2 linked regions of the Kluyveromyces lactis genome follow. The protein of the gene in region 2 purifies or fractionates together with the protein of the main gene of each other region. This does not show direct contact. Links are inferred from orthologs where the notes say so. Each region holds a gene or a part of one and is shown on either strand. Other genes may lie near its edges. The genes, in order: LST8 and TOR1.

Region 1 (3,020 bases), on a different chromosome or scaffold from region 2:
TCTTTCACCGCTGCTTGTACGAAAGAAATATTAACGAACTCAAACGAAAATTTTGGATTGTGGTGGATGTTCAAGGCCTTTCTAGATGAATGGATCTTTTGGTATGCCGAAGTTGGAGGATTCCTCAAAGATTGAACCTCTGAACTTTAATTTTGATAGATTGTTTTTCTACGCTAAAGTTACCTTTCCCACTAAGAATATTACTCTTTAAACCTACTCCATCTCCTATTCGTTGTTTTGTTTTTGTTTTTCTTGTTTAAATTCGATTTACCTGCCTTTATTACCATTCGTTATCGTTTCTATTCCTTTAATCTATTATTCTATTCAGAAACGAATAAAAAAACGAAAATTGGACTTGTTTTCCCATCTAATTGAACCATTCCTAATCTTCCCATTAATTTTGTATCTATTACCATACCCATTCTTGCATTTACGTGGTAATTGTCGTTCTGCTCTTTTCCTTTTCATGATCATTAATTGTACTATTGTTTTTGGACCTGTCAATTCATTCGACGACTCAAGTGAGCTCCAAAACGAATGCCACAACCAACTTCTGATCCTGGCGAAACTTTCCAGTATCATCGCAGGTCATCTTTATATATATCTAAGTGTTGAAAGTAAATAAGAGTTTTGATATCCATAGTTTTGATCTTTTTATTAAATTACTACATCAACGAAACCACAATAAAATGCTATGTCGCATATCCCTTCTTTAGAGATATTGATTAAAGTTTCATACATCGTTAAGAGCAACACAAACAGCACCTTTGTGATGTCCTCCATACTGCCTTACAATTTCACTTGTGGAAAGGTCCCATAATCTTACATAATGATCAGAGCATGCTGTGACTAGGTATGCACTGTCTGCTGAAAACGCACAATCCCACACCCATCTCTGATGACCATCTAAAGTGGTTTCAAGTTCAAAATTATCCTCTATATTCCATACTCTAGCTGTATGGTCTGCTGAACATGTTGCTAAATGTTTTACATCCGCCGATAGTAGGACCCTGGTAATATATTTAGTATGCGATTTGAATTTAGTTACGGGCTCCAAAGTGGAAGCATCCGTGTGATGAGGCATCTTCCATACATAACAGTTCCCTTTGTTATTTCCTGCAACAAGCATCGATCCGTCGCTTGCAACGGACAACGACTGTAATGGCGTGTTATCTTCTGGTGTCAGCTGGTTTGTGCACTGGTTTTCACCAAGATCCCAAATCCTGATATTCCCATCCTGATCGCAGGAAATCAATTCCCCTTGGTTCGGATGTATCGCTACTTCATTGACAGGTGCATTATGCTTGTAATTCCTTTGCACAGATGGGGACCGTACATCCCAAACCTTAATAGTCCCATCTTCACTAGACGATACCATCCATCGATTTTCCTGTTGAAATGCAATCGACGTTACGTTCCCTTTATGGCCTTCGAAAGAGGACACCGGATTTGGATTATTCGACCGTATATCATAAAGACGGACGTGTAAATGACCAGCAGCAGCCAAATATTTCTTATCGGACGTAATCTCTAATCGATTCACTTGGGAATCTGCATGTTGAATGGTTCGTGAACAGACTCCAGTCAAAGCTTCCCAGAACCTAATTGTGTGGTCGTATCCAGCACTCGCTAGAATAACAGACATGGCAATATTGAAGTTAGTCTGACCGTACACAATAAGAAACCTCTACCTTGTTCACAGGGGAGAAAAAGCCTTGAAAACTCCTCAGATTCCTTAAGACTTTCTTTCATCTAGTATATTGCATATTCTTTATCACATTAAACCATAATTTGTCAATATTCATGATTGAGATATAAACAACAGCAATTGAAACAAAAGTGGAGGCATAGAGATAGCCACAAGATTGTGTAGTGGCTAATGTCATTGAATGACACCTGATTTGCGGCTTTGTGATGACAGATTTGTATTGGTGGGAAACTTCTATATCACGTGATTGTCACATGAATCTCGCGTGCTTAAAGCATTCATGTTTTTTTACTTCTAGAAGGTTCCAGGGTATACTCTGAAAGAACATGATCGGTTGCAACAGAACTGAACCTGAATATATAGGAATGAAATGTTATATAAAGGTTTTCAAAGAACAGGATGTTTTTCGTTCAAAGATTATTGGTCGTTGGTATTCGATCGACATGTTTAGAGAAGAGTTTTATTGCATCTTTTGTCCCATTGGTATCTCGAAACAGTGTAAACATTAACTGATTCTTTTAGTTTACTCTAATTCTTCTAGTTTAGATAGAGCTAATTTGAACTATCATTCGACATATATACAAAAGGACAATTACCAAATTTGAAACGTCGTAGGAGTATGGTTAAGGACACTAAATTATATGATTTGCTAGGAATTTCGCCTAGTGCAGGTGAAGCCGAGATTAAAAAAGGGTACAGAAAGGCTGCCTTGAAGTATCATCCAGATAAGCCTACAGGTGACACTGAGAAGTTTAAAGAAATCTCTGAGGCTTTTGAGATTCTTTCAGATGCTCAGAAGAGGGAAGTTTACGATACTTATGGTCTAGAGGCTGCTCGTGGTAATGCTCCTCAATTTGGAGGAGCGGGAGGGCCTGGTGGGCCTGGTGGGCCTGGAGGATTTTCTTCTGGTGGGTTTGCCGGGGGACATGCGTTCTCACAAGATGACGCTTTCAACATCTTTTCACAGTTCTTTGGTGGAGGAGGTGCTGCCGGAGGTGCTTCTCCATTTGGATTCTCTGCTAGCGGCGGGTCTGGTGATGATTTCGGGTTTGGAGGCAGTAGTTTCCATTCCTCTTCGGGCGGCATGCCAGGCGGTATGCCAGGTGGAATGCCAGGTGGAATGCCAGGTGGATTCAGTAGACAACAGGCTAGACCTGAAGAAGAAGTTGTTCAGGTCAATCTACCTGTGTCCTTAGAAGATTTATTCAGCGGTAAGAAGAAATCATTCAAGATCACAAGAAAAGGCGCCGGTGGTGTGTCCGAAAAGAACCAAATTGACATCCAATTGAAACCAGGTTGGAAAGCAGGTACC
Region 2 (4,632 bases):
GAGAACAAGAGTGGCTCTTGCGTTGCGGACTTCTGCCTTTTGTTGTAGTTCCATCTTGGCCGCATCTTCAACGGTGATGACGCCCTTTCTTAGTAACTCACTTGGATTTGCAAGAGGTAGATCTATTCCCGTCTGTTCCATCACGGCTTGAGTCGGTAGATCGAAACCCCAGTTGATTAATGGATCGTATGCAAAGGCTTCCAAAATAGCCATCAAGGACTCCTTATTATCCCTTAGGACCATCATTACGTTCTCACAGGTGATACGGAAACTACCTTCAATACCACTGACTTCCATTGCGTACGTTAACATTCTTGTTAATCTGAATGGTACCTTTTCTGGGTATTTCTCTCTGAGAATTGCAGCTTCGAAACAGTCACCGAAATCAATGTGGACAACTTTACCAGTAACACGGTCCAACATCAAATTACTTGGATGACGATCACCTAAACCTAAAATATATCCTACCATTGACATGACGGCTAACGATCTTGTGTAAGTTGTACGACGTTCGAGCCATGATTCTGATGAACGACTCTTTAACCATAGAACCTTATACAAGTCCTGGCCCTTGGTGTTATCAAGAGCATAAGTGAAAACTTCCACTTTTTGCAATAGAGTTAGGTTATCATAATCAGGAGCCATTTGGAGCATTATTCTGTGTTCTATATTTAGTGGAACTTTGCTTGCTTCACGATGTTCTCTGATCAAGACATGGAATGTATCACTATTTGGAACCCATCCCAAAAGACCGGATTTAGGTGATAATGGGATAGCAGGGTATTGTTGAATGTTCAAATGCCTTTGGAAACTCTCGGGGTTATTCTGTAATAAAGTATTAACCAAACCAAACAATTGCATGACCAAATTATCTTGTCTGATATCTTCATGGCCCTTGACAATATATTGATAGTCTTTACCATCGCTACCCTTGATAGATAGCCTACGAGGACGCTGTTTGGATGAAATAACAGTAAATATTGGCTCGAAATGGGTAATTCTAATGACAGGTTTTCCGGCATGATATGTACCTGGAACAGCAAGTTCTAAATCTTTCGCAGCAGCTAGTTTTGGTGAAACATGTTGGAGATCCAACGTCTGTAATTGAGGGAGTTTCCTGCTAATACGACGGAAGACATTATAATAGATATCCCAAGCTTGGTTAAGGTTGTTGATATCTTTTGTTCTCTTGTAGTTCATTACCCACTCGTGGGCATCGTTCAAATCCCTACCAAACGAATTTTGGAACGAAATCTCACGCAAGGTTTCAGGACCACGTTTTAGCATCTCATGCAATGGCTCCAAAGTGGCAAACATCTTTTCCGTGTTATGTTCACCAAAGAATTGTCTACTAGCATCTTCAAGACCTTCGTACCAAAGTTCGTGCCACAAAACAGCGACTCTGATCAATTCGTCACTTACTAATTCTGCTTGATCGACAAGTTTAGGACTGTGCATTCTCATCTTATCTATGATGGACAAAGCTGCCCTCTGTCTTGAGACCGAATCAGATTTAATGGCAACTGTCAATGGATACACTAATGCCTGTGGATGGGCTTTACCCAAATCAGCTAGCAAAGATAGTAAAGATCTACTAACGGTTTGATTTGGTTGATGAATTCGGGAGATCAATTGTGGGATAACTTCTAACCAGTTATCGATCTTGATCAATCCAAAGCCTTCATGCATAGCTTGTGCAGCTTCTGGAATACCACCGAATTTGAACCACAAAGTGAGTAATCTTAACGTATCCTGTAAAGAACTCGATTGGGAAAGAGCAATAGAACGGAAAAAACCTTTGATGGCTGGCACGACATGACGTTGGACCAGTTCTGGAGGGAAATTTTCATTCGCGCCAAGCCCTGCCACGGCACCATTGGTAAACTCCGTAGAGGCGTCTTCAAGTGTTAGAACTTTGTCATCTTTGATTCGCTGGGTAAGCGACGAAGTGACCTCGAAGTTTGCCAATGCCCAATTATGCCAAGCTTTATACCACGACTTATCAAAGTGAGTAGCTAGTAAATAGGAACCTAGGATAGCATCAGGATTTTCCAGGCGCCAATTTGGCTGTAGTGAGACTCTCCATTCACCTTGCTTTAAGAAACAACGAGCAAGTAACTTCGTATAGTCTTCAATGTGATGCTGAGATACGCTGCTATTCTGTGGGACACTTTGAGCTATCATGTTACTGGGATCGAGGCCTAGATCGTGTGCCATACGAGAAGTAAAGCTTATTAAATGGTTGAGTGCTTCCTTTTGAGAACCTGTAGCCCACATGTATTTCAATTGGGCGTAGACAACTGGTGGAGGTGCACGAGCAGTATTTGGATTCTTTGGATCACTACTCTCTTCCAGAAGAGTGTTCAATGTCTTCTGAGCTAGACCTAACCGTCCGGACTTCCTACAAAGATTAGCAAATTTAATCCATACTTTCATATCTTGTTTAGGCTTTATAACTAGTGACCGTACCTTTAGAATTCTTTGCCAGACATCAACATTCTTTTGACAACCTAACAATCTTTTGTTCCATGTCTTCCGTATCATAGCCCGTCTATCGGAACCCTGTGGTAAATTTTTATACTGAATTATTTCTTCTAATTCCGCGACCATTTGAGTTCTTACCACAACACCATAAGCACGGTTGTAACTTTCGTTCACCAAGGCAGACATTTCAGTAACAAGAAGATCTCTGGCAGCAAAGATTTGTTCTTGTGCTTTATCGAAATTGTTGCGATGTAGACAAAGAACGGCAGCAAAGAAGGCCTTATCTGGAGATTGTGGTTTCATCACCTCAATGTACTGCTCGATTCGATCCCATTGAGCTAAACCCCACGCAGCACCCGCAGCCAGAGGAGCGATTGCTCTCTTAATGTCTATCTTTGACGAAGCCCACTTGTCTGCTGCAAGTTCAGACAATTGATCCCAGTCACCTAAGGCGTGTAATGATCTCATTTTACCAATTGTAACTTCTATCGAATCTTCACCAGCAGCCTCACGCTTATTATACGCAGTCAAAGCGTCATCCCATCTTTGTAACTTTTCGTACCAAGTTTCCTTCAATTGTAGATCGTGGTGTTGCTGCGCATGCTTCAAAATACCGATTGCTGCATCTGTTTGGTGTAATTGATTATTGATACTGATTAAGGACTCGATAGTTGAAGTTGTTGGCTCTTCAATGAACTCCAGTTCTTTATAATGTAAAGCTTTTGCATATGCATGACAACGCTGAGCGTATTCGCCAAGAGTTGATATAGAAATTGGTAGCGGTTTGTCGTCATGCTCCATGAATTCAACCAAATTTAATAATGTCTGGTGGATTTCAGGAGGATTGTTTGGTGAGGATAAAGCAGAGCACAAAGACTGAACCAAATCCTCTTGATATTGCGTGTAAAGTTCACCCCAACAACTTGCAAATGAGGCGTTGAATAATTCTCTAGCTAATGGATAGTAGATACCAGCCAATCCGGAGCAGGCACGTAAAGCATGAGAAGATGATTCTTTGAGTAAAGAAATTGATAGCCGTCTAATCCACTCTTGCCAGTCCTCCTTTGTTCTTTGTTGACTACAATCCCAGGCATTTTTTAGCACAAGTTGGTTGACAGGAAGCTTCTTGGAAGCTACCTTTACATCGTCCATTTCTTTATTAGGTAAATCGAAATCTTTATCAATAATAATTTTGGTCGGTAGTGGCTCATTATTCAAAAGTTTGGCAACCAAACGGTCGTATATTGTGTGCTGAATGTTCTGTTTGACTAAAGTTTTATTGATAACTGGAATGAATACAGTAAAATCAATATTGAGTTGTAAAAGAAGTAAACTTAATGTGTTCATTGTTGCTTTCACGTACTCGAGTTCTGATGTATTTAAGACTCTTACTAGGGCTTGCACAATCCTAGACGACATTTCTAGTGGATTGACATTTTTCGATAGACGTCCTATAGTAATGATTGCGGCCTTCTTCAAATTTCCTGAGCTAAACTCCGATAGTTTTATGATAGTTGGCAGTACGAGGTGAGCATATTCCTCTAGATGTGGTCCAAAAACTACCAATGACTTCAATATTCTAATTGAGACAACCTTCTTATTCGACTGGTCTTTTTCCAAAACATCCAAAAACAAAGATAGTATATTAGGTAAATAAGGATTGAATTCTCCTTCTAAGGCTCTTGATAGTGATTCGATAACCGAGATGATAGTTAATTGTAGCTTTACGATAGGGAAGAATTCTGAGATTACTTCCACAATTTCAGACACATGTAGTCTGATGTGTTGTTTCACAATTGAAATCAAAACACTGAGCTGTTGGAAGTAGAGCTCAAGAAGTGAAGGTGGACATGTGTGCATAACCAGTATAAATCCAGGAATGATCTGTTTCAAAAATATGACACAGCGAAGCCCCATTGTCTGGAAAATGTGCATGATCGCTTGAATAACAGTTGAATGGTGAATAGATAACGAAGGATCTTTCAAAATCTTCATGAGGACTCCAATTACTACGGTAGGATAATACTCCTCGTTAGATGGAGACATACCTTGCATTAACAAAGCCACATCAATTGGAGGGGCATTTTGTTCTACCGTAATATTTGTACTAGATGTACGTTCCACTTCTCTGTGTTTATACGGATCTAA

What was found.
Region 1: the proteins of TOR1 (region 2) and LST8 purify together in Schizosaccharomyces pombe (affinity purification with western blotting; 3 studies listed by BioGRID, with this or other methods). This does not show direct contact. The link is inferred for Kluyveromyces lactis from reciprocal best matches to the Schizosaccharomyces pombe genes tor2 and wat1.

The regions. Positions count from the first base shown.
Region 1 is NC_006040.1:411,987-415,006, reverse strand, and holds LST8 (TOR complex subunit LST8), read right to left. Parts: upstream 1,646-3,020; coding exon 734-1,645; downstream 1-733. Other genes in the region: RFX1 (Rfx1p), read left to right, coding at 1-135; type II HSP40 co-chaperone SIS1, read left to right, coding at 2,328-3,020. UniProt on the Schizosaccharomyces pombe protein: component of both TORC1 and TORC2, which regulate multiple cellular processes to control cell growth in response to environmental signals. Nutrient limitation and environmental stress signals cause inactivation of TORC1.
Region 2 is NC_006038.1:1,224,850-1,229,481, reverse strand, and holds part of TOR1 (phosphatidylinositol kinase-related protein kinase TOR1), read right to left. Parts: coding exon 1-4,632.